Linked DNA regions of Oryzias latipes. The protein of the gene in region 4 purifies or fractionates together with the protein of the main gene of each other region. This does not show direct contact. Links are inferred from orthologs where the notes say so. Each region holds a gene or a part of one and is shown on either strand. Other genes may lie near its edges. The genes, in order: med18, med21, med31, cdk19, med8, med7 and med9.

Region 1 (4,537 bases), on a different chromosome or scaffold from region 4:
CCTTTTTCCAATTTCAACATGAGCAATGAAGGACCTAAGGCAACCATAGTGCTTTCACTTGTAATAGTCCCAGCTCAAGTTCCCATGAAAAAAAGAAAGGATACTAATGGGTTAACAGTAGAAATGAAAGGGGAAGAGAGGGAAAATCAATGCTTTTGTGGAAAGGAAGAAAGAAAGGCTTTCACAGGTCTATGTATCATTAAGCAATTGAGAAAGCTAATTAGAGTGGGGTAAACGATGTGCAGATCGCACAGCTAATTATTTCCATGGCAACCAGAGCTCCTGTAGATGATGAGAGGTAGCGTTCACTTTGCTCCAATTAAGACCATCCTTGTGGAAAGAGAGACCCCTGGTGGACATTTATTATATAAAAAAATGAAATTGAAGATTTAAAAAAAAATTTTTAAAGCAATAACATAAGCCATCTGAGGCATTGCAAAATGTTTGTCAACTTAAAATATATTTAAGTATTTTCCAGCTATTTGTTACTATAATATTTTCTTTATAGTAGGCACAAAAAGTAAAAAATAAATTAAAAAAATACTCTGACAGGTCAGATTAACCACAACTGTAACAGTTTAAGCAAAGTAAATCTGTATTTCATCACATTAAAAAGCATTTAAATGGAAAGGAAAACAATAACAAAAACATTTTTTTCCATTAATGCTTAATGTCTCTGCTTGCTTGGGTCAATCTTCTCCAGATGAATCAGAGGTTTGAGCTGCTCGGCAAAGCTGCGCATGTCTTCTGACACGGTGTCCTGTCCGGCCGGAGCCAAAATGCTCAGTTCCACTAAATACGACAGCGACATTCGCTCTGTATTTTCCGTGTTCCCTGGTACTAGGATGCGTGAAACCTTGCTAACCACAACTTTCATTGCTCCTTTGCGAAATATGTGACCACTGGCCACAAACTCATGGTCCATGCGAAAGCCCATCTCATTGAGGAACTCCGGAAGGCTTTGAGAGGCAGCTACATCGACACAGTTGCGAACCAGAGCATGGCGGCTCTTGTCTCCCACTTCTGGCTGGCCTAGATACCGCAGGTGCCATGGAGAAGTAGGGTGGGAGAGGGAGCGTCTGGCACGCAGAATGAAGGGGTTGCCTTGCTGGCCTTTCAAAAGGTAAACCAGCTCGTGGTCGGTGAAAGTCTCTGGTTCCATGTTGTCACAGAGACCACGCAGGCGATGCAGGAGGCTTTCCAGAGCCTGATCCAAAACACTGCCTGAAAAAAACGAGAAAATAGAATATCCTTTAAAGACTCATATAGTAAGTTCTTTACTCCCACTATAATTATTTCCTGCTGTGATACAACTTTTTAAAAATGAATATTAAACATATAATCCTCCATCATGAAATTAAAAAATGTTCAATGTTAAAATTAGTGTTCGTTTTAGATCTCTTTTTTTTACAAACACAGTTTCAATAAACACTTCAGATGTGATGAAAACATGAATAACAGGTTTCATGAATAAAAAAATTTAAAAAAAGCTTTCCTGACTTGAGGATTATTTTTCCATAAATCTTTATGCATCTATATAATCTTAAATACTTCAGTTTACTAAATACAAATGTGTCCAGTAAAGTGCAGCACAAACAGGACAGGAAAACCTTAGAAATATATATTATTTTCAAGACAGAAAGTAACTGAGCACTCTTTCCACACTCTTGACAGTGTGGTTTGCTCTTTAATGCTACACCAACACTCATGATGGAAAAATAATTAGCTCAACTTAATAGTTTTTTTTTAAAGACTAATATTAATGGATAGAAGTTGGTTTTAGCAACAGAATGAAGATGTAAACATTATTTTTCAAATAATTTAGCCAGTGAACTTCATACTGGCTTCTAATATATGTATTCTGGAAAAATACACCGTTTTATCTGTAAATATATCAAGCCTCTATATCTCTGGTTGAACCTTCTATATCTGAATCGTCTCACCTTGTAACAGATATTCCATCATGTTGATGGCACCGCCGGTGACGGGCATAACTGTGACAGGAGGAGCTTCCATCTTCTTCCTGATTTAAAGTAATAGTGAATGATGGCATTGTCATTCACTTAGCAAAAAGTACTACACTTGAAGTTTATTTCATTGAGGACACGTGAGAATAAGTACAAGTGTACGATAGACCATGTGTATATTGTGAAAGAAGTATTAACTGACTGAAAACTTCTTCAGACTAAATTGGAACATTTTATGTTTTGAATTTAGCAATACTAGATTGTGTTTAAAAGTTTACTTCAAGTATATCGTCCCACTAGCCAATTATACATGTAGTAAACTAAATAGGCTACTTTTTGCAAAGTGTTGTTGGACTACTCTATTTCATTTGCAGTTGTTTGATGATACATGTGAGTGACATTACCAATGAATGAATGAGTAAACAGAAAACAGTTGTTAGCTAAATTAGCGAACAAATACAACTACCAATAGCAGGCTTATGCTAACTAGCAAAAGCAGTAGACGTTTCTCACTACAGAGTAAGATGGTTTACCTGAGCAGAATAAAGAGTTCGGCGCAGCGTTAGAACTGACTAAAGTTAAGATATTTTTGCTGTTTGTGGTTGGTTTCCACGGTGGGCCCCCTGTTTCACCGGTTAGCTAATATCCACACGGCTGCTAGTACCAGTTAACAGTTAGCCTACATGGAATTACCAACTCACGATTTGAGCTGTTACTGTCATCAACAAAGTAATTTAAGGCATTCGTACTTAACTTAAAAAATAAAAAAAGTGTTAATGAAATATATATTGTAACCCGTTCTAAAAACAACCAAAATTTGATGCTAATCAGAAAACAAAGGCGCCCAAGTTCTTCCTTGGCTTTTGTTTTTAAAAGGCGCTTTCAATCCAGTTTAAAGCTCGTTACTGCCACCTACTGAAACCCCGGAATATAACCATTCATGGAAGCAACTTTCTGTGTTAGCTTTTTCCGCGCAAACAGGTATTTAGGCAAATGATAAAACAATAAGTACACGTTGAATACACTTATTGAACTTAAATTTTAGCAATGTAGAAAAAGGATCAATTACAGTAACCCAAACAGGGGTTACTTTAAAAATACAATCCATAAATAACATTTTTTTAAAAATCAACTTCAAGTCATTTGATTTACAAAAACACTCACAAACCAAAACGTGCTCTAAAAATTGAAACTATTATCAGTGCAGATAAGTAACTAAATGTATTTGAAAACCTTGCACATATTTAAAAATAATAAAAATATATATGTAGATTTCATACCGAAAATGTTGTAATAGTAATTGCTGGCACATAAAAAAATAAAAGCCTAGCTCTGTGGGCCTTTTTTTTAAAACTCAGATGCTGTCTTCACAACAATTACAATATTTTTACAATTAGTTTTTGTTAAATATTTTCTTTTTAAAACATTGAATAAAACATTTAAAATTCAGACATGCTGCTATAGTTTTTGGCTGATTGAGGTTCACAAACTTTTTTAAGATTTGTGCTTAACCTTTTAAAGTAAATGACAAACATTCCATCAGATGCATATTTTACACATAAAATAATAAAGATATAAAAACTGTGTTTTGACGGATTCCGAAGCCTTTAAAGAAAAAATATTTAACAAAATTTGTGTCAGAAAAAATAATGGTTCAGAATAATTTAAAGGAACTTGTTTTCTGTTTTCAAAGCACTTGCTGACAGTATCAGGTACAGACACAAAGCAATGCTATATTTCATAAAGATAATTAGCAAGCAGTTATTCATTTTCTGACACAATGGAAAAAACCCTTCTAAGGGTTTCCATTTTGGACCTTGTAGGGTGAAGTTTACTTCAACTCACAAAACAGAATCCATGTTAAGGCAACTTCAGAACTGCTAAAATATCGCAACAATTACCTGCTCAACCTATCCAAACTGCTTTTTGTGAATTTTATTTCACTGTAAATGGTTTCATTGTGGGCTAATTCACGGCCATTGGTCTTTGCAGGGGTTCTAAAGGCAATTAAGGAATAAACAATGGAGGGTTCTTCTTCCACCTGCAAATAAAGAAATAATGATTAGTGGAAAATGATTAGTAAATGATTAGTCACTTTATGATTTGTGGAAAATGTAAAGGATTATTACTCACACTTGTCCGTCTTCTGAAAACACAGCAAGTGCAAAGCAAAGGAAATGCTAGAGGGTGAACATAGAAAAGGTGTGATGGAGCTGTTAAAACCTCAGGCTCATTAAAACTCTGAAAGTAAAAACCTCAGAATTTGCACCCCAAAGAAAGCAAAAGAAAGAGTTTCTGCTTGGAGAAAAATAACGAACAAAGTAAACGCACGAGTTTCTGATCTTATTTCCAATTACGAAGTGTGTTTTGGATTTAGGCCCCCTCTGCAACTGAGTTTGACCCCCCTGTAATATGAGTCTAGAAAAGTCATGCATTTTTGTGTGTAAAATTAGCGAATAAAAATGGGGCACACAAAAGGATGTCGTCAAATTGTGTTTGTGTGTGTGTGTGGGGAGGGGCTAGGAAATTTTTAGCAAACAGGTCCTGTGGCGCCCTTCAGACCACTTAGT
Region 2 (4,438 bases), on a different chromosome or scaffold from region 4:
AGAAAATATCAATCTGGTTTTAAAGAAATGTGAAAACTTAAGAAGAAAAAAAACATCGAGTTCAAGTCTGTAAGTAATATAACAAATTGGGCAATTTCCTTCATAAAACTGTTTTACTCTTTTGCTTTCTGTTTGTTCAGTTTTAGTGAGATAAAAACCTAATTACTGTGGTGAGTAATGAACATCTGGAAGTAAAGAGTAGTAGATCCCTGCATTTTTCATTTACTTACACATTAGCGTTAAGATACTCAGCGTCTTACAGATTTAAGATGGAAAGTTAAATGATAGAAAGTGATGTAAACAGTACAAAAAGCAGGGAAATTGGTTTTAAGCAGATTACTTTTTAGTTACAATACTTATCTTAAATCTTTGTTTAGAGTTTAAGGGAATACGTAGCTCCGTTTATGAAATGCACCCATCATGACTGGTTGAACATTCGCTGCTAAGCATCTAATTTTGCCAATGTCGTGTTTGGGTAATTCAGGTTTAAAAACACACTAAATATTTATTTTAGCAGAATTCGATGTATAACTTCTACATCAAGATTTCCTCCAGTAATAACGAGCAGGAGATGCTGCCCCATACCATCACACTGCCACCACCAAACAATGTAACTTTACCGGGTATGACCCTCCTGCTCACCCACTAAAGCAGGATGTTAACGAATGTGTCACAGTTTAAAAGGGGAAAAAAGAGGATGTCGAACTGCAGGAGATTTATGATCATGAAATATACTTTCTTATGACAAAAAAATTAAGCAAGCAGAAACAAACAGCTAATTATGTCTTTGCTTACGTAGTAGTAAAGTAGTTACAACTAACGAAGCTGCTCTCTAAATCCTGACAAATTTTCCAACAAAACATACAAACGTACCTCATAAACAGTGTACCAAAGCATGTAAAGGTGTCTTAATTTAACACTGAAGTGGTCTTACCTGAAGAGTTCAAAGTGCAACCAGAAAATAGATCTTCTTCCTGATATTTTATGTTGTAGCTCAGAATAGCAACATCATGCTTATGCTAACACGAATATCGGATTATACGTTAAACTTAAACTTTGTTTCTTTAAGACATAAAAAAATATACTAAAGTACAAAAAATGAATTTCGCAAAAGTCTCTATGGTATTCAAGTCTAAAATAACAGGTTTAAGGTTGTTGACGGGCTAACTTTCTTTAGCTATCTTGTCTTCCGAAATGACGTCAATTTCTGCGAGATTTTGTCAATGCTCTCGCGATAGTTGACGACGGACTTTTGTCAAATACAGGTAAATATGGCGGACCGGCTAACGCAACTACAAGATGCTGTCAACTCGGTAAAATAAAAATGTTAAATATTTGACAAAAATTGTGATATAGAAAGACTGTCACATATACATTTAAATATGAAATGTGCATTATATATAGGTTTTAATGGAAGTTGTTTCCTAATTTATTTACTGAGGGCGTAACATCACAGCAGCTAACAATGCTAATGCTAACTTAATAAATAGCATTACTTACTTGGTGTTTGCTGAAGCTGTTTGCCAAAATGCTGAAGTAGATTGGAATTAAAGTTGAAGACGCATGAAAGGAAGTGGAAATTATTTAAAAAGGTACCCAAACCAGGAAGTTACCCTATAAATTGTTCGTTTTGAGACTTATCCTAATCCTGCCGGTCAAAATATGCTGTCAAACAAAGTTAGAGTCCCATTTGTTCTTAGCATGCTAGCCATCCTTTAGTGTAGCTCTATCAGGAAACTCCTGAAAGCACTAAGCAGCTTGTTTGCTCATTTAGCTGGAATATTATAGGAATCATGATGTGTGGTGGTACAGGCCAACCGTTCTGTTATTGTTTAGGTCAGCCGGATGACATTTCTTACTAGCATATGGACTAAAGATATACATATGTATATAACATATGACAATATTGAACTTCAGGCACTCCAACCCCTACACTTAATCTTCATGACATTTCGAAATAAATGCCTGAAGGGCATAATACATATGATTACATGAAGAAGGAGCAAAAACCTAAAAATATTCTAACTTACAAGAAGTGTACTACTTCATAATTCTCTTTTCTCTATGAAAGATTTTAACCGTCTTAAATAAAACCAAAATCTTGCTGAAAATGCTTGAAATATTTGCATACAGCCAGATAAAGAATAATGGAAGACAATTATACCAAAAATGTTTTTAAAATGAAATGTTTAATATAATATCCATTCATTTCCAATGAGTAGAATTTCCTGCTGTGCTTTGTTATAATCCAAGCTTGATTGTTTTGACCTTTCTGTCTGTGTTTCAAACATAAAATGAATCTATTCGGGATGTGTGGTGCAGGTCGGCTTCAGCTCGGTCTGAACTGTGTGTTCTGCTTTTGCGTGGGCAGCTTGCAGATCAGTTTTGTAACGCCATCGGTGTTTTGCAACAATTTGCTCCCCCTGCGTCCTTCAGCAACATCCAGACCGCTATCAACAAGGACCAGCCGGCCAACCCCACTGAAGGTTAGTCTGACGCCGACTGTCTCTAAAGACCCACTGGGTCGCCGCCTGCTCTTCACCTTCAGTCCTCGGTTTACAGTTTCAATTCTGAATTTTCACTTTCGGAGTACAGCCTCATTTTACGTTGGGGTGGGCCTTCGATGCCGTTGGATATTGGGACATGATTGATATCAGGGGCTAGACGGGTCATTCTCTGAATTCGGTGCACATTGGTAATTGAAAATCTTACCTAAAAAATGTGTGTTTCTTAACATTACATCAGATTAAGGACTATTTAAACCTCTGAGAAAAGATGTTTTCCCACTTTAGACATGAAATCCCCCAAATTGTTAGAAAGTTTGTCACTGTGACAGTGTGTTTTGTTACGGAGTAGAATATTACGAGGTTGAAGTTGTCACGTGTCTACATTAGCTAGGATATGAAGCTACATATGGCATGAGGAAAACAAGAATTTAATACATATTTCAAAGCAATCGTTAGCTTTTTCCCAAACAATAGTAAATATCATTTATTAATTTAACAGAGTTGAAAGGTTGAGCTTGACAAAGTCAATCTGACAACAGAAACTATGAAATATGGGTAAGAAAGGAGGCTAATACTTACCTGTCTTCAGAGTATGAGCAGGAAAATATTCAGTGATGTCACTTCCTGGCTGCTGAAGAAGTTGGACTGAACTATTATTTTTTTTTAAAGGGGGATTGATAGGCTGTTACGGGTTGAACAAAACTGAGGGACAGGAATAAACGGTGAAATTTCATAAAGATTCATTTATTTTTGTCATACTTCTTTTATTTAAGTGAAACTAAATAGGCATATGTTTATGTTAGCAGAAAAAGCATGTAGTTAGTGGCTGTTTTTATCAGTTTTGCATTAGCTGAAAAGGTAACTTTGGCTTCGTTCATACTGCAGGCTGAAACGACCCAATTCTGATTTTCTTCCCCCATGCGACCTGTATCTGATCTTTTCATGACAGTCTGAACGACACAGATCCCATCTTTTCAAATGTGAACCAGGCCACTTGGGTATGTGGTCCTGAATCCAATACGTATCCGATCTTTTCAAATGCGACCTCCGTCTGAACGGCCAGGCCACATGAATCCGACCCGTACCTCATTGATACGTTCTCAAACGTCATAATTCTGCGTTGAAGTAGGCGGAACCAGAAGATAAACATCAACCATGGCGGACGATGCTGCTGAGACCAGTCAGTGGAAGGGAAGCGAGGTCACCGATTGGATTCATATTTGGGGTGACAGCTCCATTCAGGCCAAACTCCAGGGCTCTTATCGCAACCGGGCAGTTTTTGAAAATATTTCCAGCAAAATGGCCGAGCGTGGTGTTGAACCTTTCCCACCTGACTTTTTTTTCTTTCCGACTGTGGTCGGAAGCAGGGGGGGGGGATCTTCTCCAGGGCTGAAGGAAGATCCTCCTCCGGAATTAACTTCCCCGTTCGGACCCTCAGATTCTCCAGAGCGGGTTAATAAAGAGTCAATTATAGCATTTATTCTGGGGGAAGCCTTCTTTTATTATCGTTCTCCTTCCTCTGTAACACACAACATGAATGCACGCACCCGACACACTTCCGCTGCCCCCCCCCCCCCCATCCCCCCCCCCACACACACACACTCCCTCCGGCGCTCTACGCGCTCTCTCCTCTCTCTTATTACACACACAGTGCCTTCTTAAAATGATAAGATTGTAATTGTGCTGGCTCCTTTGTGAAAATAAATTTAATACTGCCAAAAGAGCTCCTCTGTTGACAACACTGTTGTTGACATCCATTGTTAGCGTTAACTACTTCTGCAAACGACGCGTGTCGTCGTTCACCGTTGAGAACTCTTCTGCGCATGCGGGTCACTTCTGGGTCATTTCATGTTCACACAGGAGATCACAAAAGTTCGCATTTAATTGGAAATGTGAACGGCCTTGCAAAAAAAACAGATTTTTTCAAAAAA
Region 3 (2,697 bases), on a different chromosome or scaffold from region 4:
TCTTGTTATCCCTGAGGAGCAGCAGGTGAGCAGCAGAGCAGAGACTCGTGTACTGATGTGTCAGTAGCAAGTGAAACAACCTTAAAGTCGGCTCTTTGGTGTGAAAGACACGACCCGGATCCTTCCTGGGAGTTGTTTTTTTTTTTAAAGTATTAATTCAGCCTTTCTTACTTTATTGTTAACTGTAAGCTACACATGACTGTGTCTCTGGTCAATATGAGATGGCGCTCGATGCACTCCGTAAAGGGGGGGGGGGTAGCTCAGGGGATTCACAGCTGTGAAGGACTTTGCACAAAACACAGACGTAGATAGAGAAAGGTGCAACTCATTGTAATGGAACTTAAAGTCAGCAGAAATGAACATGGAGGCATTAAATAGTTCTTTGTGTTTTCAGATTTGATAGATTGGAATAACAGGTTCATCTGACCTTGAGCAGTGTCACAGACCACATGTGCTGTAACTTATTTCTGTCTCATTTTTCACACTGTTGTCTGAGTTCAAAGGAAACCAGGATTTGTCTTGAACCAGCTTCATACTTTGAATGGTCATGTTTTTAAAAATAAAGTTGAACGACAGGCAGGAGGATCTTTTCAGTGCTGTTTTTCCCTTGATTTATAAATGAGGGAAACAAAGTAAAGTAACGTAGTGAATTTTTTAAATCGGTAATGAGTATATTAACTTAATTACAATTTTGATCCAGTAACTAAGTAATGTAATCAATGACTTTTCAGAAGTAATTTACCCGACACTGCTGTAGATATACTTCACATGAATGCAGTTTGTTTTCATAGGCAGGTTTGTACTTTTGCAGAGAAGTTAATTTGATTTGGTCAATCAAAAAAAAAAAACAGAAGAGAGAGAGGGCCTGTCATCTCTAGTGACCACGAGGGCGTGGAAGGGCCGCTCCACGGTCAGGATCAGTAATTGAGGGGGGGTTAGATTCTTCTGAAGGAAAGCGAGCAGATGGATAACGGCGATCGTCTCTGGAATCATCGCTCCAACTAGTCCACTCACACTTCCAGGAGCCTTGTCATCCAACAGGACGCCAGGTTCCTGTCCCGCTCTGGCATCACCTCAAGATCTGTTACACCAGGGGGCGCCATTCTATCACTGCAGGCTTTCTCCATAGATCTTCATAGGAAATAGTTCTCTGCACGAATGTTGTAAAGCATGTTTATTGTGAAGCCTGAGCAGCCTCACCTGCGTCTCAGGCTCAATCTCTGACCCGTTTGTCTGCAGTTCTGGCTCAGAGGGGCTTCCTGAAGGAGCGACCCTTCATCAACTACCTGAAGTACCTGCTGTACTGGAAGGAGCCAGAGTACTCCAAGTTCCTGAAGTAAGGCGCCGTTTTTTTCCTTCTCCACTCTGAACACTGGACAGTCTGCGGGTCCTTTGGCCTGCAGGTTTCTGACCGTGTCTTTGGCGCCCCCTGCAGGTACCCCCACTGCCTGCACATGCTGGAGCTGCTGCAGTACGAGCACTTCAGGAAGGAGCAGGTCAACGCTCAGTGCGCCAAGTTCATTGATGAGCAGCAGCTGCTGCACTGGCAGCATTACTCCCGCAAGCGCACGCGGCTGCAGCAGGCGCTGGCTGAGCAGCAGCAGGCGCAGCAGCCGCCACAGCCGCACGGCAACGCCGCAGCTAAGTGAGAATGGAGAGGAGGAGCTTCAGGTGACGCCCAAGAAAATCTTTTTCTTCATCATAACGTTCTCTCAGATGAGGCTGTGATGGATGGAAGCCGCAGCAGAGCTTCCTGAGAGCTGGACAGACTGTTCCTGGATCAGACTGCAGTCAGGATCCAACCTGGAACATTATCACGAACATTAATGTGAAATATTCATCCACAAGATTGTTTTTTGCAAAAATAAACGTTTTTTTTGTCTGTTCTACTTCCTGTTGTGCACATAAATATTTTTTCACACTTAATATTGGAGATGTAATAAATAATCAACGTTAGTCAGTGAATCAATTTATATTCCTAGATCCAAAAAGATAGTTTCAATATAAAATAATTTAAAAACTAACGAAAAAAATTATATCAAAATGTGAAAATACCATTTGGATTGAGGTTTATTTTACTATAACTGTTAAATATATGAGAACTGGACTGAGTGACCCTTCCCCACTGGTTTTACAAACAGGAAGTACCCGTTAGTTCTAAGAAGCCCAAATCCCATAGATTTCTATGGAGAAATAAACCACGCTTACTCAGTCATTCTATTGGTCAGAATAAACACGCTTGCTCTGATACCTTTTTCTTGCTAGTCTTAACTTAATTAATTATTCAAGACCAAGTGCATCACAGCCAAAAACACGTGATGTCAGCAAAAACTGATCAACCATCATCCACTTTGAATTTAGAAAGTCATGTGACCACACAGAGTGCTAGAATGTTCTAAGAATGTTCCCTTTGGATGTGGAAAAACAACAGTGGATTGAACTTTACTAAAATGTTTAAACCAAAATGTGAATGGATTTGACTTTCCTTCTTGTTTACTTGTTTGTTTGTACACATTTAATTTACACTTAATTATCTTGAAGGAATCAGAAACACTTCACCTGCACTGTTCAATAGCAGGTATTTCTTTCTGAGTGACACTGGTTAAAGTTTTGAATAAAGATGTCCTGGATCCATTTTAGGTCAGTGAGCCGGATCAATTAAAATCAGTCAATCATTCCTACTTGACATAAATCATT
Region 4 (4,464 bases):
AAACAATGAGAAGTAATCAGGGTTCAGTTTGTGTAGCAGTGTACATTTATTTTTCCTACAAAATAACTCGTAATAAAGGCATCAACACCAAGACCCAATTTCCACTCAAATGTTTTGTAGAGCCATTGTACCCAATATCCTGTCTTTCACGTACGTTGAAATATCAAGACTTGAGGTATGGTAAATAAAGCAATGAGTGAGATTCATCAATTGCATTAAGGAGGGAAAAACAAACTCATATTTAAATGTCTTAACTGAAATGGTTGGAGTGCTTTATTAACTCTGTACAAGTTGTTTTTCATTGACCGTACCGGCAGATGAGCCAGAGTCACAATGGAGTGTTGTGAAACTCATCGTGTAGGTATGTGGCTGAATCAGCAGCGCTGATCTGACCATCCCAGATGACGAAAAAAACTCAAACCCAGTCAAGACGTCCAGTTCCATACCACTTTCATCCTACATGTAAACATTTAAGGCTGCTTTCACACTTCACACAGTGTCTCCCCAAAGAAAGTCTGGGAAGGAAAGCGAAGCGTGAACAATAAAACAAGTTTGACCTCCTGATCCATTTAAAAGAACCTCCAGCTCATCAACACAATGGACGATCCACTGAAACAAACCCCATTCCAAGAATCGTCCAATGTTCCCTTCGTCCCTATGAAAACATGAATATACAGAGATTCTGAATCAACTCAAGCAGTAGGTCCCACAAGGAGTATTTCAGAACCTAACCGTAGGGTTCTGTCTTTTGTTTTCCATGGTTGAAAAAGGAAGAAAGAGACAACATTTGGATTTCAAAACAGGAGATTTTTTTAACTGGAGCTTTTATTGTTTTTATCGTTGACCGGTTTCTGAACTTTACAGGGTAAGATCAATATCTACTTGATTTATAAAATATGTGTGTGTTACAAACATTCACAGCTGTTTTATGAAACAGAACAATAATTCTTGTGACCCTTCTGTCGTCATGGGAACCAGAGATGACTCTTTAGCCACAACATCTGATAAGGTCAGTCTGCTTTCAAGGTTGTGAGCTTTTCTTGACGGTATGACATTCTGAGGCCCAAACGGTCCTTTTGTGTCCACCTCACGCATCCATCCATCATCCAAATCTGCTGAATACCTGTTGGGGTAATGGGGTTACTAGGGCCCATCCCAGCTGCTATTGGGCGAATTGGCCCATTGACTGCACATGACAACTGGACTGGGTAATCCCTCTCCCATCACATTCTAAATAGGAAGTACCTGCTGGTTCCTAGCAGCCCAAATCCCACAGACTTCTATTGAATAATAAACAGATATTACTCAGTCGTTCTATAGGTCCGAATAAACATTCTAGCTCTGCTACCCTTTTTAACATGTTCTTGCTAATCCTAATTTATTTTCCCATATTTTTTCTGTAGTGCAAGCTATTCACATTAATGACCAATCTGATGCCTCAATAAAAGTATGTGGTCTAACACGGAACGTTTGAAGCGTTTCATTGACAGATTCTCCTAGGCACGCTTTCAGTTGATAAAGGTGTGGACTTTCAACAAGTTCACTCCTGATTAGCGAAAGTTGTTGCCATAGAAACATTTACTCAGATCAATCACTGCTTACCAACATAGCAACATGCATATTGCAAAAAAAAAAAAGGCAACTGAATTGACTTCATTTAGTGGAACCAGAAGCAAGCCATTTTGTATGGGTGATGTCGGTCCAGTTCTCATTTACAGACAAGATCTGGACAGATCACCAGTCTGTCACAGGACCACACAACGAGACAAACTCACATCTAGGGACAATTTTGAGTCACCAATTAACCCTTGATTGTATTTTTGGACTGTGGGAGGAAAGATGAGTTCCTGGAAGAAACCCACACACACACAAGAAAAACATGCAAATTTCATACAAAAAGGTCCCAGCCAGGATTCATACCAGGAACTGCACGCCAAGAGTGCTAACCATGCAGCCCTATCAAGCTGCAGAAAAAAAAGTTCAAAATACAAAACAGCATAAAGTTCTAACAAATCTGTACCGATTTCCTACAAAACTGCAAATTTTAAAAGCAACATCATGAAGATCACCTCTGACTGACCACAGACTGATGAACTCCACCTTCAAACAAAAACCCACAGCTTCTGTTTTAAACTCCGAGCCTTCATGCCTGCTGTTTCAAAGTCCCACAGAGGGTCTATGAAACAGCAGTCATGGGAGCATCTGAGTCTTCCTCCTGCTCCTTTGATCTAACAACAAAGGTGTTGCTGGAGGTACACACGTGACAAACTATTACTAAAGTTTGACGTCTCTACTAGAGCCAAAGCTGCTGCCTAAAAAAGCCGCGAGGCGCAACGCGGTCACGTCGACCTGCGTCCGCGTGAACTCCCCCCCCCCCCCCCTCGATAAAAAAAACAACAACAACAGCCGCGTTGTTTTAACATTTCGTCTGGGACTTAGTTTAGAGGGGGGGGGGGTATTCGCGCGCATTTGTATGTTATGTGTATGTGTGAATGAGTGTAATCGTGGGGAGGGGGCGTTGGTGGGTGAGTGAGTGAGTGCGCGCGTGCGTTCCATGAAAACAAAAACACAGAGGTTTTTGCCTTGGTGGGTTTCGAACCTACCGAGCCGCGCGGCCCGTTAGTGAGATCTGAGACCGCGAGCAGCAGCGAGCGGTCGATATGAGACTTCGGAACAAAACAAGAACGTTCACGGTTATCTTCTTACCCGTCTTTGCGCTTAGCTTTATAAACGTGCCCGTAGGTGCCTCGACCCACTTTGCAACCTTCATATTCGAAAAGATCTTCCACTCTCTCCCTCTCCGCTGCCAGCTTTGTTTTGAAGTCGTAATCCATTTCAACCCATAAATACGTCTTAATTTACAAAAAAATAAAATATTAATTATTACATGCATTCATTAAATAATCTGGTCGTTTTATTCCCCCACCATTTCCTTGTTTGGGATTTTGGTCTGCTCCGCTTAATGTTCACTGGCTCGTTGACGTTTCTAATTGGCGCGTGTTGCCAGATGGGTAGTGTAGTTCCAATGGGACGTTGACACCATTGAGGAAACAGTAAAGAGAAGGAAAATAAACTACTACCCGCGTTTCTTGATGCGGTTTGTTGCACTTTGCGTACTAAAGAACTTTCTTCAAAAATGTTCCTCTGCTGTTTGACTTTATGGAAATTTTTGTCTGAAACATCAGCCATTAATTGAAAATATTATTTCCTTAAAACTTGTTTTACCACTAATAGTAGTTGCAGTATTCATTTTAATAAGAGAAAAAAGATTTTAAAAAGTATTAATTATGATGTAATAATTATTTGATTATAAATACTGTTGTTGTTAAAATCTAACTTTCTCCGTAAGTAAAAAAAAAATTATCAAAATTATTGTTGTTAAAATCTAACTTTCTCAGTGAGTAAAAAAAACCTGTTTAAAGAAACTACTATAATGAAAACAACTGTATGTATATCTCTTAACAAAGCAAATGCATACTAATTTTTATATTGCATTTATACGTTATAGCCTATGTGATCATAATTTTACTGGATAAAGGATTCAAATGAGGGGGGAACCTCAAATATTTTGACCTGTTACTATTGTTTTCTATAAAAGATAGAGTAGATACTGTCTTTTCATTATTTTTTTTTTTATATTCGTGGAGAAAATTAATCTTTGAGCTCCAAAATTGTAAGTAAATGTATTTATGTATTTGCTTGTATATTTAAAAAAAAACAATCAATCATCCACCCAAGTAAATTAGTACAAAATAAGTATTGATAGAAAAAAGACAGCTTTTTAATTATACTTTAGACTTTTACAAGTTTTCTTTAGACCTAAACAAGTTTAAAGAATAAACGAACGTGTCTATTACGTCACAGTGTTTGAGTCATGAGTGACAGATCCCTGGACCAATCATAAAGGAGTAAATAAAACCTCACCAGGAGAGTGGCTCAGCGCACCGCTGACGTAACGGCGTCGTTGTATAAAATCACCGCGCGCCGCTTCCTCAGTGCTCTACACAGTATGGCCGGCGATATTAGCTAGCGCTCGCTTACGTTGTTCTCTGCTACAGGGAAGACGGTAACTCAAGACAAGCAAACAACCAGATTGTTAAAATACTGTACCTCAATAAGTTAAAGCGAACCAAGGAACGACCATTTTAAGCTGTAAACCATACTACCAAGGTTTGACAGACTATTGAGGTGTCTGTTGTCTCATCATGATGATGGAGGATCAGGATAACGGTGCACATTTCTTCGAGGGGACCGAGAAGCTGCTGGAGGTCTGGTTCTGCCGCCAGGATGACACTAAGGGCACCGGGGACCTCCGCTCTATCCCAAGGTTTGTCTTCTCCGTCAGTCAGTGGTTTGGTCGTTAGCCTCCGGACCACATGCGCGGCCTCGTTGCTATGCTACGTCGTCGTTCCTTAACGTAACTAGTTGTTGTTTCCGTAAATAACCGTAAATGTCTAAAGCTTT
Region 5 (4,593 bases), on a different chromosome or scaffold from region 4:
CAGTCTCTGGTAAGGTCTCACCTGAACTCTGTTCTTCGTCTGCAGAGACATTTCTCGAGCTCATCGTGTGGCTGCAAGTCTGGAGGCGGGGACCTGCTTCATCAACAATTACAACATCAGCCCAGTGGAGGTGCCATTTGGAGGGTATAAGATGTCAGGTGGGGTCTTGTAAAAAAAACAAAAAAAAACAAGAGGCTTCTTGAGGAAAAATGGTGAAACCGAGTTCTTGATCTGTGCAGGCTTTGGCAGAGAGAACGGCCAGGTGACCATCGAGTACTACTCCCAGCTGAAGACGGTGGTGGTGGAAACAGGCGATGTGGAAAACTACTTCTAGAGTTTCCGTTTTACACTCATTTCAGAGCAATAAACGAAACTGTGCAGACCTGTTGAATGTGGATGTCCTATTTGAACTTTTCTGGAGTGTCTTTTATTAACTCTTAAGTGTGTATGAACAGCTGGCATGATTCTTCAGGCTAATTTATTTTGTCACGTTGGACATTTGCTCATGCAAACATTATCTGAACTCTGATCCTGAAGTAAAAATAGCAGTTGCATATAGAGTTTACACTGCTAGAAACATTGATCCATCTTCTAAACCACCTTTATTCATGTATATAAAAAAAAAGTATGCTGGGTGTCCTAGAGCCCACCCAGCTACTGAAAGGCAAAGGTGGGATACACCCTGGGCAGTTCACCAGACCACTGCTGGGTCAAATGGTGTTAGGATTCAGTCTAAGAGACACTTTTGAGGTCTTAGGTCAGAGAGCTCTTCTCCAAGGTTGCACCAAACAATCAGGTCTCTGTTTTTATAAGGCTTGTATTTTAGTCTGATGCCTGGACCGGTGAATGTTAATAATAAAGCCGAACTAAATAGATAATGTTGATGACTCATAAACTTGAAAAGAACTGATTTTGTAATGGTTGGCCAAGATTCTGGGACATTTGGAGCTTCCACTAAAGATAACCAGAACAATATACAGCTTGTTACAGAAGACCCATGATCACACACAGAAACAAAAACACTAAACATATCATTTGTTTTTAATAAATACCAGGAAGACTAAATTGTTTCTGCTCTGAGCTTTTATCTCTGTCTCCCTGTAAGCTGCACCTTCTCTGTGCTTCCTTCACAACTGTCTGCAGGACTCATCCTCTGATTCTGCTCTCAGCTCTTCAATTTCACTTTGGTTGCTGCAATTTCTCATTTTTTTTTAGTCAACACCATCGTTGATTCTCTATTTTAAAAAAGTCAGTATAGACTGGATTAATGACTCTGACGGGACAGTTCTAGTACATTATTTTGGCCTGGAACAGAGAATTTGGACGAAAGAAAACAATATTAAAGGGTGCAAAACCCTCAGAAACAAATATTTATTGAACAATAAATAAAAAAAGAAAAGAAAAAAACAAGAGGATGGGTGGTATGGGTACCTGCTGTAGCCACAAGGGAGCACAAACACACCGTCAGATTTGACCAGAGAAGAAGAAGCATCTCTTTTTTTTGGAAAGCGCAAAGCGGAAGTACAACCTAGAAGACTTCCGGGTCGCTGACAGATCAACAATGCAAGTGAGTCTGAAATAATTTCACTCGGTTGTCTGTGATTCTTCTGACCTACTGTGGACGATACTTTGGACTGATGCTAGCTCGGGCGCTGTGTAATCTGTCCGGGCCTCTCTGCTCGTCCTTTTTGTGTTTCAGCAGCGGGAGGAGAAGCAGCTGGAGACGGCGGTGGAGTCTCTCATCTCCCGGGTGGCTCACGTTAAAAACGCCCTGAGCAGCTTCATCTACAAGCTGGAGAATGAGTACGAACGTCTGACATGGTGGGTCCTCCTGCCCTTATGACGTAACGTATCCCCCCTCCTTTGATTATGATAAATAAAAGCCTGGAAACATGCGAAGTTAACAAGTGAGTGCATATCGTGCGTGTGCATGTGTGCGCGAGCGCACTTAGACTATAAATCTTTGTTGATCCCACAAAAGGGGAAATTACCTTGTTGTTGCCATAGCTCCAATAAAACATCAGATATATATTAATAACACTAAAAATACACTTAAACAATTAACAGCAATCATTTTTGTCCAATGTCTATAAGGCATTGCAGAGTCTAATAGCTGACGGGAAGAAAGATCTGGGAAAGTGCTCCTTCCTGCAACAAGGTGTAAAGGAGCTGCTCAGTACACCCATACAAAGGATGATGATGATGATGAAGAAGAGGAGTGTCCATGATGGAGTTCAGTTTCTGTAACATTTTACTCTCACCCACCACAGTTACCGATTCTAGGAGACATCCCAGAACGTAGCCGGATCTCCGCTCCAGTTTGTTGATCCTCTTCTTGTTCCTGTTTGTGCATTCACACCTCCAGCAGCTCAAACCATAGAAGAGGGCAGACGCAACAATGCCATCATTAAAAAGAGTCCTGAAAACTCAGGAGAACCCCAGTCTCCTCAGTATCTCCTGCGATCTGGGATTGCTTCTCCAGCGGCATGTTGTTGTTGCCAAGCAACAACAGCTGACCGTGTAGACGATGTACCCACAGACCGCTTCAGACCCAGAAAGTGGGGGATAAATAGTCCAAAGGACTAGCAGGCACGCCACTGCACTTGTGTAAAAAACAACAATTCTGTCAAAAAACAGAATAATAATTAGAGAAAAAAAAAAACGAAACTAAAGAAAAACAAGCAAGCCAACACAGATCTATGGTAACTGCCAGCTTGTTGTAGCATTGGTGTCTGTATTTGCGTGCGTGTATTTGTACGTGTGCATGCGTCTTTTAGAAAGTGTTTGTGTCTCCATGTTTACCTGCAAAAGTTTTCTCACCCCCCTCTCAAATCTTTCCTGTCCCTCAGGCCATCTGTTTTGGACAACTTTGCTCTCCTCTCGGGTCAGCTGAACACCATCAACAAGCTGCTGAGGAACGAGAAGACCCCAGCTTTCCGGAGTCAGGTCATCATCCCGCTGCTCCTGTCTCCTGACCGGGATGAGGATTTAGCTGTGAGTGTCGCCGCAACATTTGCAGGCTGTCCTGTGTGGTGAAAGACCTCTAACTATCCTGTCCACCCCCACACCCCCCTCAGAAACTCACAGAGCAACGCGTCCCGGTGTTCAGTCACGAGATTGTGCCAGATCACTTGAGGACCAAGCCTGACCCCGAGGTGGAAGAGCAGGAGAAGCAGCTGAGTGCAGAGGCGGTCAGGATTGGTCCTGAGTTGGCTCAGGTCAGGAGGCGCATGGATGTTTGTTATCTGTTGTCTGTGCTCAGAAGGTGTTTAGTGTTTGTCTGTGCTAATCCACAGAAGCATATCCAGGCTCTGAACAAGCTGTGTTCCAACCTTCTGGAGAAGCTGAACAACCCTCGAGAGGACAGAGAGGGAGATGCTTCTGGTGGGTCGCTCGTTTGTGTAAATCCCTTGTTGTCCTTATTGTAGAAAGAGCTGAGTGTGTTTATCTTCCAGCAGTGCGGCAGAACAAAGCGTCCTTCAACCCCACAGACACCAGTGCCTTGGTAGCAGCTGTGGCTTTTGGGAAGGGACTCTCCAAGTGTAGACCTCCTGGCCCTGTGGCCCCTGGCCACCCAGGGCAGGGGCCCATGATGAGCGGAGGTCCAACGTTACAGCAGGTCACTATTGGTGGCGGGTCAAACCAGCAAGCAGGTATGGGAGGGCCTGGGGCCCCCCAGCAGCAAGGTCAGCCAGGTAGGAAACTGTACTGGTAAAATGTATTAAGTTTTTTGTATTGGAGACACATTTTTATTTCTTTATTTTTGTCCAGGAAAAATGCCAAGCAGCATCAAGACAAACATCAAGTCTGCATCGGGTTCCATTCACCCTTACAACCGGTGATCTCCCCCGCCCGCCTCTTTACTGCTCAGATGCAGGAACATCAGTCTGTTACTGGGTCCACCTTCACGTCCCCCTTTGAAGCTCTCTATACAGCCACTAGGTGGCAGCATGGGATCCTTTATGGCTAAATCTTAACAGCACAATGACATGTTTTCAATAAAACCCAGAAAAGCAGCTTGGTTTGTGTGGCCTTTATTATACAAGTGTCTTTCTCTTGTTTCTGCACTGAAACGACGTGAAAAAACCTGAGCTCCGCTCTTCTGAGTCTGTGTTGCAGCGCTGAGCCTGATGGGGGTGGACGTTGTGTCACAACTTTTAAGGGAGAACGCGAGGAACTATTGCTGTTGACAATGGTGGTGGTGGGGGTTTTATTCCTGTCTGAGTGTTGGCCCTCTGTCTGCTCTGATCCTGTCTGGCTGTATGACCTACATCCACCCTCCGTTCCTTAACTCAGAGTTGAACAAAGACACATTTGTGCTCACAAACAAACCTGAACAAAAGACCGATATGGGAGACACAAAGTCAGAAGTCTCCATAAAGTTACCCTTATTGTAAGTAAATTCTTAAATTTGTATTTTTTGATATACAACTCCACGTCTAATTTCCATTCATCTTTAGAACCCTGCTTTTGGAGATGTAGACATCGTCTTTATCTTTGTGACTTCAAACTAACTGCCCTATACTGAGAGAAACTTTTTACATCAAGATGGACAGGATCTCAAGGGACACCTGAGACAATATTTGGCTTGCC
Region 6 (4,609 bases), on a different chromosome or scaffold from region 4:
AAATCACCCGAGGAAACATGGTTAGCAGTTGAGAATAACACCACTGGAGACACTGGGTGGTATTGGACGGAGTAACTGAAAGCCTCTGACTGCAGGGGGGAAAAAAAAGGGAGAATGCAAACATTGAAGATGCCGAAGAGTTTCCGGCGTGGGTTAGTTGCATGCAGTAAACCACATCCTTGTGGCAACACTCTGTGCAAGCAATCACACACTGATGTGCACACAAATACACACACGTATCATCACGTATGTTGTGTTAAACTCAATAAAGGTTTTTTTTTTAACATGAACCTTTGATGTACTATTGATCAAATTTTGCATAAAAATGTAAGCTTTTTGTCAGAATTGCTTGGTTGTTAAACAAAAATGTTTTAGAAAACAATTTAAATTTTCATATTAAATCAAAAGCTAAAAACAAAAATAACACTGTTAATCAATACCTAAGAAGCCATAGCTGGGGTTTTTTTTCGGAATTTTTAAATTTTCTTTTTTCTTCATTTAAAAGAAACTCTCCGCTTGTATCAAAATTGTAGTAAAAAAGTACTACTGAAGGAAAACTTAAAAATGAAAAAAATGCAATTTTTAAAAATGTAAAATGCATGATAAGTTATATCCTACAAACACTAAGAATGTCAAGGTTTCATGAATCACTAAATGCAGAAAACAGCAAAAGAGAAAAGTCTGGTTTCTAAGAAAAATGTATCCAAATACAATATGGAACCTTTGATGTACTTTTCATGAGGCTATGTTTTCTTTGGGGTTAGAAAGATTCTTATTTTTCTTTTCAATTTTGGTTCAAATACGATGTTCTTGTTTTGTTTTGCACACTCCGAAGCACAACCTTTGCCCTCTGCTAAATATTCACTAGGCCTATGACAACGTTTATAAAATAAAATGTTACATGTCATTCTTATTTAGTGTCAGGGTCAAGATGAAGTCAGCTTACTTATAATAGTTTGACCATTTTTATTTAAGTGTAAAAAAAAGAAAAAGAATGAATATTAGGTGTTGCTAATTGACTAAGTAGAAAATGAAACATAAAATTCAAAGTTAGACACTTTCACCTGCCCTACTGTATTTAGGGCGTAAAAACAAATGATAGATACATTTTTAAAATTAGAGTCCCCCTCCCCCCCCTTTTTTATGGTTACAGATCTGAACTTTTTTTGCTTGGGTTTGATTTCTTAAGCAGCTTATTTTAAGAACATATTTTAAGATTTATAGGCCTACCAGGATCAGAACCTGAACTCACTATATTAAACAAACAAAAACTAACAAAAAGTTTAAAACAATTAATACAGGAAAGAGATTAGTTTTGAATAAAACCCACTAATTATAAGGTTAATAATGAAATACTTTAAAGGCTTGTCGACGCAACCAATCAACGTCGAGTTTGTTTCCGGGTCACTGTCCAATCCTGGCATCTGAAACTCAACCGGGAAATGAATAAAGCGAAGCTAGTCAGGAGCTAACTGGCTAGAAGAATTTTCATCTAAACTCAACCAATTGAGTCGTTAAACAGGTTTGTACAATAATCAGTTATAAATGTAACCCTTTTATTCGTGTTACAGACCTGTTTCTTTGACTGTAGAGACTGTATTATTCAGCAGATGCAGGAAACGACGTTTGTTGTTAGCCAAACATCAACGGAGCGGTTTTATTAATTAGGTTTTTGTAATAACTTTTACTGTTAGTTAGTATATACGTGGGCTTTTATGTGGTATCTAAATGCACTACGGCGGAATAATTCGAGATTTGTTACGTTAGGTTTGACTTTGACATAGTTCTCAAAATGAATCGTGATGATCATGTGTGTGTCTGTTGTCGACTTGTCCGCCTTCTTACTTAGAAAACAGGTTTAGCTATGTGATGTGTGAACATTATCTGTTGTTGTACTTCTTGTGAGCACGTGTAAAATCCTAAAAAAAACGCGTGGGAAAAAATACTTTTATTGGTTGGAGCGGTTAACGACTCGTTTGGCTACGGTAAACTCTGATCGTGGCAATCTTCAAGTTAAAACATGCACCGACCATATGACATATCCTTCTCTGATTTGAATGTTGTTTTCTTTCCTTCAATAACAATGATACAAAGTGTTGAAAACAGACATCAACAAATATGCATTTTGTAAAAGCTGTGTTTTTTTTAATGTATAGAATGTGCATGTATGCACTTCTCTTTACTAAAATCCACAATTTGACTTGTTTTTGACCCTCATTTGTTCTCTTCTTACATCAGGATGGCTTTTCTTTAAACATTTTTTTAAACTCTGCAGTTTTTTTTTTATTTATTTTTTAATTTTGAATATAAAATCTACTAATTCAGTTGTATTTGCTAAATTGATAGCAGAACAATTATAAGGTTATGTGCACAACAAATAAGCATTTTGAAAAAATGGTGTTAAATCACACAGAAAAAAATCATATTCTTTAACAAGTACAATCTGATAGGGGGGATAGTGATAGATAATATAAATTTAAACATGTTTCAATTGAATAAAAACTGTTTTCTTATAGATAAAGGAATTATAATAATTTGGATTTTTAGTTACCGGTAAGTAGCACAGACAATTTGTTTCAATTAAAAAAACATGAGGATGTAAAGAAGTTTAGGAATCAATCAAAAATCTGTTTAATTGTCCCACAGGTAACTATAATGCAATGGAAGCTGTCACATCTTTATGCCATTTTCCACAGCATTTAGAAATGGCTTTATTGATTAATTATTTTTGGTATTGTAAAACTGATTATGGAAACCTGTATAAGTCTTTTCTCACAATTTTAAAAAAATGTTTCACTTAAAAATTCCTCTACATTTTCTTTAATCTTTTGAAAAATATATTGTAAAACAATGTATTATTGAATAAGTATCTGTAACAGAAACTATAGTAAACCGTGTTAAAATAATTATAACGTTTGTGGATGCATATACAAAACTAGTAATATTAGGCTAAGTGTCAACATTGTACATCTGTTCCTGTGTCTGTTGGTTAATCTGCATTTAATACTTATCTACTCTAACCTAAAAACATGTATATGTTTAAGCTCCACAGATGCATGTTCTTCTTGGTTGTCGCTCTTGCCTCACAGCAAGAAGGCCCCCAGTTCAAGTCCCAGCTGGGGGACCTGAAACAGAATCACCACTGGGGGACCTTTCTCTGTGGCGTTTGCGTGATCCCCTGGTTTTTCTCCAGGGACTCCAGCTCCCTCCCACCGTCCAAAAACAAGCTTCATAAGTTAATTGGTTACTAAATTCTCCCTAGGTGTGAGTGTGCATGGGTGTGTGAACGTGGCTCTGCTACAGACTGGCGAACTGTCCATGATGTCCCCTGCCTTTGCTGAGATAGGCTCCGGCAGCCCCGTGACCCTGAAAGGGACAAAAACGGGTTTAGAAAATGAATAAATAAGGATATTTTTTCTTGAAAGTTATTATTTTGGCACATTAAAAAGGCATAGTTTTGACAAAGTGCTATCATGACTGTGACTTTACTGACTGGAGAAAGCGTTTATGCAAGAGGTAGCTGATGCCATCACCCAGAACATATGAGGGGGTCATTAAAGATTGTTTTACTTCATATAAGTGAGACCCGTGAACTCGCCACAACAGTGGGATCTTATCAGGTGCATGACTGTGTATTTGTTGTTTGGATTCTTTCTAACTTGTAGTTCTATTTATTTTATAATTTTTAGGTCTGCAAAATGGGTGAACCACAGCAGGTCAGCGCACTGCCTCCACCGCCCATGCAGTACATCAAGGAGTATACAGATGAAAACATTCGCAAAGGTCTGGTGCCAAAGCCGCCTCCGCCCATCAGAGACAGCTACATGATGTTTGGCAATCAGTTTCAGTGCGACGACCTTATTATTCGGCCTCTGGAGAGCCAAGGCATCGAGAGGCTGCATCCTATGCAGTTTGACCACAAACGGGAGCTCAAGAAGCTGAACATGTCCATTCTCGTAAACTTTCTGGACCTTTTAGACATCCTTATCAAAAGTCCTGGTAATATTAAACGCGAAGAGAAGATGGAGGACATAAAGCTTTTGTTTGTTCACATGCATCATCTGATCAACGAGTACAGGCCGCACCAAGCCAGGGAGACTCTGAGGGTGATGATGGAGGTGCAGAAGAGGCAGAGGTTGGAGACGGCGGAGAGATTCCAAAAACACCTGGAGAGAGTCGTGGAGATGATCCAAGGGTGTCTTGCTTCTGCGCCTGACGACCTGCTGCAGATGGAGATTCCAGACGTTTCTGAAGGGCCAAAGGGTGCGTCCGGAGCAGCTGCTGCCCCCTGTTCGTCTGGGCAGCCCCCTCGGCTGAAAATGGAACCTATGGATGTTGAGGAAGCGGGGGGCAGCTGTATGGTTGCAGGAAACCAGGAGAAAAATATCCCTTCTTCAAAAAGGGACAAAATATGGGACAAAGACGCTGCCATGTGTAGTATAATTGATGAATTAGCTTAGCTGTATGTTTTTCTTCTCTCTTTTATAACCAGAAATCGTTTGATTGCTCTCTGTTTGACTAATTGCAGTGTTTTCACAAGAACAGGAAGTCTTCTAATGTTAACTTATCTAAAGGCGGTCTTTCAGTTTTTTTTCCTGCACATGGGAAA
Region 7 (3,104 bases), on a different chromosome or scaffold from region 4:
TAATGTTCAAAACTGGATTTAAATTATTACTAAATCTAAAAATAATTATGCAAGCTCCTTCGCTGCCTCAAAAGTGAGGTTCAGCTCATCAGCATATAAAAACAGCGATATTCTCTTTTCAAATTGGTTTGATATGTGTGATGCAATGACCAGATCCGTCAAAATGATCCAAGATTTGATAGTTTACACTGTGATAGTTTACATTGTAAAATGCTCTGAAAACGTCAATTTGAGGTTACTAATATATTCTGTTTAGTTTGTGCAAAACCTCCCAATCAAGTCGAAATGGAAATCCTTACTTTTACAGTCAGTGGCGCCACTCATTTAGATATCCATTCTTTGTCACACCTCTGGGTAAAAGCCTCACACTTAATTTAATGCTCACTGCCTGTGTCACGTTGGCATTCTATCTTCTCCAGGGGAGACTGAGTTTTTCCCTTTCTGTGTTCACCAGGTGTGAGTAATGAACTCATGGGATGTTCGCTGCATCAAGAGGTCAAACTTGATTTCATGTGAAATGGATGTAAACATGAGTTATTTGGGCTAAAAAGAATACATTTAAAAATAAAACACATAATTCAACATCAAACAGGAGAATCGTCATTGCTACACATGCATAATCGTGTAGTCACTTGTACTAACAAAGAATTGAGCAAATTAGCCATTTTAATTCTCCGTGTTGCCTAATGTATTGCCAAACAGGGCTTTAGAAAATAACCAGGAAGTAAGCTTTTCATTATTTTGTTTTATTTTCTACATACTAAATATTGTATCCCCAATCAACAAGGACGCACTGTGTAAACAGAAAAGGAAAAAGGGTTTCCAGACAGAGATGCACGACCTGAATGAAACACTTCATTTATCTTCCAAACAGACAAATTGCGTGACGCACCGTGAGACTATATTTGTGCTTGCTATGAGCTCTAGTGTTTACACAGCTCCCCATTTTTCAGTTCTCAAGCATGTCTTGTGTTGACTTTCGATGTCAGTACTTCAGGTTACCAAGTAGCAAGACGTGTAGCCAAGGTCATTCCAAGTCCTAGGTCATGTGTTTATTATGTGCATTGACAAATGGTCTGTGACCTCCATCCATCCATCCATCCATCTTACTCTGCTTTACCGGGACTGGGTCACGGGGGCAGTCTAAGCAAAGATGCCCAGACTTCCCTCGCCCCTGCTACTTCCTCCAGCTCTTCTGGGAGGGACCCCAAGGTGTTCCCAGGCCAGCCGAGAGACGTAGTTTCTCCAGCGTGTCCTGGGTCTTCCCCGGGGCCTCCGCATAGTGGGACATGCCCGCAACACCTCCCCAGAGAGGCGTACAGGAGGCACCCGGACTTGATGCCCGAGCAACCTTGGAATAGGTCTGGGACCTATTCTGAGCAAAATGATGACATGCCACGAGAATTGCAAGGGCTTTATCAGAAAGAAATCAGTCCCAAATCTTTTAGATCTTTTTTCTTGTGTTTGAAATTTATTACAGCAAATTTTTCTTTGTTATTTCTTGTTTTGTGTCAAGACTTTTTAATAGTTTGGGAATCATACCATGACTTATATGACTTACCATCTCAAGGTAATCATTTTTTTCATACTTTTGATAACTAGAGTATTCATTCATTCATTCATTCATTCATTTATTCATTCAATCAATCATTCACTCATTCATCTATAATCATTGTTGTTGTTGTTGTTGTTCAACATCAATTGAACTTTTTTAAAGTTGTGATTTCAGTTGAGATTCTCGGAGTAACCTGTGACGTCATCAGCCTGCGCCAGTTGCAGAAGGAGTAGCAATGGCGGTAGCTCAGGCTAAGCTCGTGAAGGAGACCGAAGACTGCTCTTTGCTGCCCTTAGTTCACGACATTATCAAATGGTAAGCTGTTTCCTGTGTGCTGGGTTTACGTATATGTTGGTATTTACTAAATGGTTCACGGTAAACTCTCGTTGGGGGTATTTACGGTTTGCTATATGAGAAGTGACGTGAACGCTTCCCATCATGGGTGCAGTTTTGCCTTTAATAGAAGTCTGTTATTTATGTATTTATTTATTTATTTATGTTTCTGCTTAGCATGGATAAGGACAGCCCGGATGTCAACCAGGAGCTGACAAAACTAAAAACAAAGATCCAAGAAACCCGGGAGCAGATCTCTAACATGTCTGGGATAGACTGCAGTCCGCCGGAGCAGCAGCAGCAGCTGGCCACGCTGCGGGAGCAGGTCCGCACCAAGAACCAGCTGCTGCAGAAGTACAAGGGACTGTGCATGTTTGATGTGCCTAAGGCGTCGTGAGACAACAGACTACAAACTGGAGACTTGAGCAAAGACGTTTATTTCTACGGTTTACCATTTAAAAAAAAACCTGAAATGAAAAATGGGACTTTTGTTTTTCTTTTTTGTTTGCATCAGTGTGAATGATCTGCTCTGTTTCTGAAGTATCTGTTATTATTTCAAGTTGTAAATCTCTATTTTTAATAAATTAAATCGTGCTATAGTGTTTTACTTGTTTTCATTATTATTATTATTATTATTATTATTAATAATAAATGTATAAGGGCTTTGATGCTTTATTGAGCAGACCATTTAGTCTGAATCTAAAAGGTTTTTAAATAAAGGAAAGCATTTGCCACGGCACACACTTTCACATAACTTTATGTAGTTCCTTTTCACAACATGCAAAGTAAATCTAATTTAATGTGAATCAGCATTTTTCTCTAAACAAAGTTTGATTTTAATCATAAATGATATTGTCTCTAATGGGCCAAATATTACATCTGTTGATATCTACTAAATAGCCTCTAATTATATGTGCTGCACTGCCTCCTAGTCTAATTGTTTTCCTTCTCTGTTATTGTGCCATGGTTATCATTTGTGCAAACAATGGAGTCCTAATGAATAATTATTCAGGCTGTTAGCTCTTTTTATATATAAGTCCATTTAATTTCAGAATGTCTCAATAAATGATGTGTTATAAACATGTATTTTCATTCGAACAGCAGAATGAAAACGTATATATAATTCTTAAAGTGTTTGTTTTATGCGAGAAATTGGAGAGTGGGACTGAGAACAGACTATGAAAGTATCAAGTTTTTTATTTTTTATTTTCTCTTT

What was found.
Region 1: the proteins of cdk19 (region 4) and med18 purify together in Homo sapiens (affinity purification with mass spectrometry; 5 studies listed by BioGRID and IntAct, counting the BioPlex papers as one, with this or other methods). This does not show direct contact. The link is inferred for Oryzias latipes from reciprocal best matches to the Homo sapiens genes CDK19 and MED18.
Region 2: the proteins of cdk19 (region 4) and med21 purify together in Homo sapiens (affinity purification with mass spectrometry; 6 studies listed by BioGRID and IntAct, counting the BioPlex papers as one, with this or other methods). This does not show direct contact. The link is inferred for Oryzias latipes from reciprocal best matches to the Homo sapiens genes CDK19 and MED21.
Region 3: the proteins of cdk19 (region 4) and med31 purify together in Homo sapiens (affinity purification with mass spectrometry; 6 studies listed by BioGRID and IntAct, counting the BioPlex papers as one, with this or other methods). This does not show direct contact. The link is inferred for Oryzias latipes from reciprocal best matches to the Homo sapiens genes CDK19 and MED31.
Region 5: the proteins of cdk19 (region 4) and med8 purify together in Homo sapiens (affinity purification with mass spectrometry; 6 studies listed by BioGRID and IntAct, counting the BioPlex papers as one, with this or other methods). This does not show direct contact. The link is inferred for Oryzias latipes from reciprocal best matches to the Homo sapiens genes CDK19 and MED8.
Region 6: the proteins of cdk19 (region 4) and med7 purify together in Homo sapiens (affinity purification with mass spectrometry; 5 studies listed by BioGRID and IntAct, counting the BioPlex papers as one, with this or other methods). This does not show direct contact. The link is inferred for Oryzias latipes from reciprocal best matches to the Homo sapiens genes CDK19 and MED7.
Region 7: the proteins of cdk19 (region 4) and med9 purify together in Homo sapiens (affinity purification with mass spectrometry; 7 studies listed by BioGRID and IntAct, counting the BioPlex papers as one, with this or other methods). This does not show direct contact. The link is inferred for Oryzias latipes from reciprocal best matches to the Homo sapiens genes CDK19 and MED9.

What each region holds. Positions count from the first base shown.
Region 1 is NC_019874.2:22,764,138-22,768,674, forward strand, and holds med18 (mediator of RNA polymerase II transcription subunit 18), read right to left. Parts: upstream 2,858-4,537; 5' UTR 2,501-2,857; intron 2,024-2,500; 5' UTR 2,017-2,023; coding exon 1,944-2,016; intron 1,225-1,943; coding exon 668-1,224; 3' UTR 559-667; downstream 1-558. UniProt on the Homo sapiens protein: Component of the Mediator complex, a coactivator involved in the regulated transcription of nearly all RNA polymerase II-dependent genes.
Region 2 is NC_019881.2:3,908,561-3,912,998, reverse strand, and holds the start of med21 (mediator of RNA polymerase II transcription subunit 21), read left to right. Parts: upstream 1-1,248; 5' UTR 1,249-1,271; coding exon 1,272-1,313; intron 1,314-2,371; coding exon 2,372-2,486; intron 2,487-4,438. UniProt on the Homo sapiens protein: Component of the Mediator complex, a coactivator involved in the regulated transcription of nearly all RNA polymerase II-dependent genes.
Region 3 is NC_019872.2:23,706,587-23,709,283, forward strand, and holds the end of med31 (mediator of RNA polymerase II transcription subunit 31), read left to right. Parts: intron 1-1,239; coding exon 1,240-1,336; intron 1,337-1,435; coding exon 1,436-1,649; 3' UTR 1,650-1,889; downstream 1,890-2,697. UniProt on the Homo sapiens protein: Component of the Mediator complex, a coactivator involved in the regulated transcription of nearly all RNA polymerase II-dependent genes.
Region 4 is NC_019882.2:10,351,733-10,356,196, reverse strand, and holds the start of cdk19 (cyclin-dependent kinase 19), read right to left. Parts: upstream 3,203-4,464; 5' UTR 2,930-3,202; coding exon 2,927-2,929; exon of another isoform or gene 2,853-2,926; coding exon 2,707-2,852; intron 1-2,706. Other genes in the region: amd1 (S-adenosylmethionine decarboxylase proenzyme), read left to right, coding at 4,206-4,327.
Region 5 is NC_019862.2:24,740,801-24,745,393, forward strand, and holds med8 (mediator of RNA polymerase II transcription subunit 8), read left to right. Parts: upstream 1-1,468; 5' UTR 1,469-1,561; coding exon 1,562-1,567; intron 1,568-1,699; coding exon 1,700-1,821; intron 1,822-2,849; coding exon 2,850-2,994; intron 2,995-3,077; coding exon 3,078-3,218; intron 3,219-3,296; coding exon 3,297-3,384; intron 3,385-3,455; coding exon 3,456-3,695; intron 3,696-3,771; coding exon 3,772-3,842; 3' UTR 3,843-4,016; downstream 4,017-4,593. UniProt on the Homo sapiens protein: Component of the Mediator complex, a coactivator involved in the regulated transcription of nearly all RNA polymerase II-dependent genes.
Region 6 is NC_019868.2:21,185,503-21,190,111, reverse strand, and holds the start of med7 (mediator of RNA polymerase II transcription subunit 7), read left to right. Parts: upstream 1-1,406; 5' UTR 1,407-1,522; intron 1,523-3,689; 5' UTR 3,690-3,698; coding exon 3,699-4,460; 3' UTR 4,461-4,609. Other genes in the region: itk (tyrosine-protein kinase ITK/TSK), read right to left, coding at 1-19. UniProt on the Homo sapiens protein: Component of the Mediator complex, a coactivator involved in the regulated transcription of nearly all RNA polymerase II-dependent genes.
Region 7 is NC_019866.2:10,874,616-10,877,719, forward strand, and holds med9 (mediator of RNA polymerase II transcription subunit 9), read left to right. Parts: upstream 1-1,738; 5' UTR 1,739-1,790; coding exon 1,791-1,870; intron 1,871-2,065; coding exon 2,066-2,285; 3' UTR 2,286-2,490; downstream 2,491-3,104.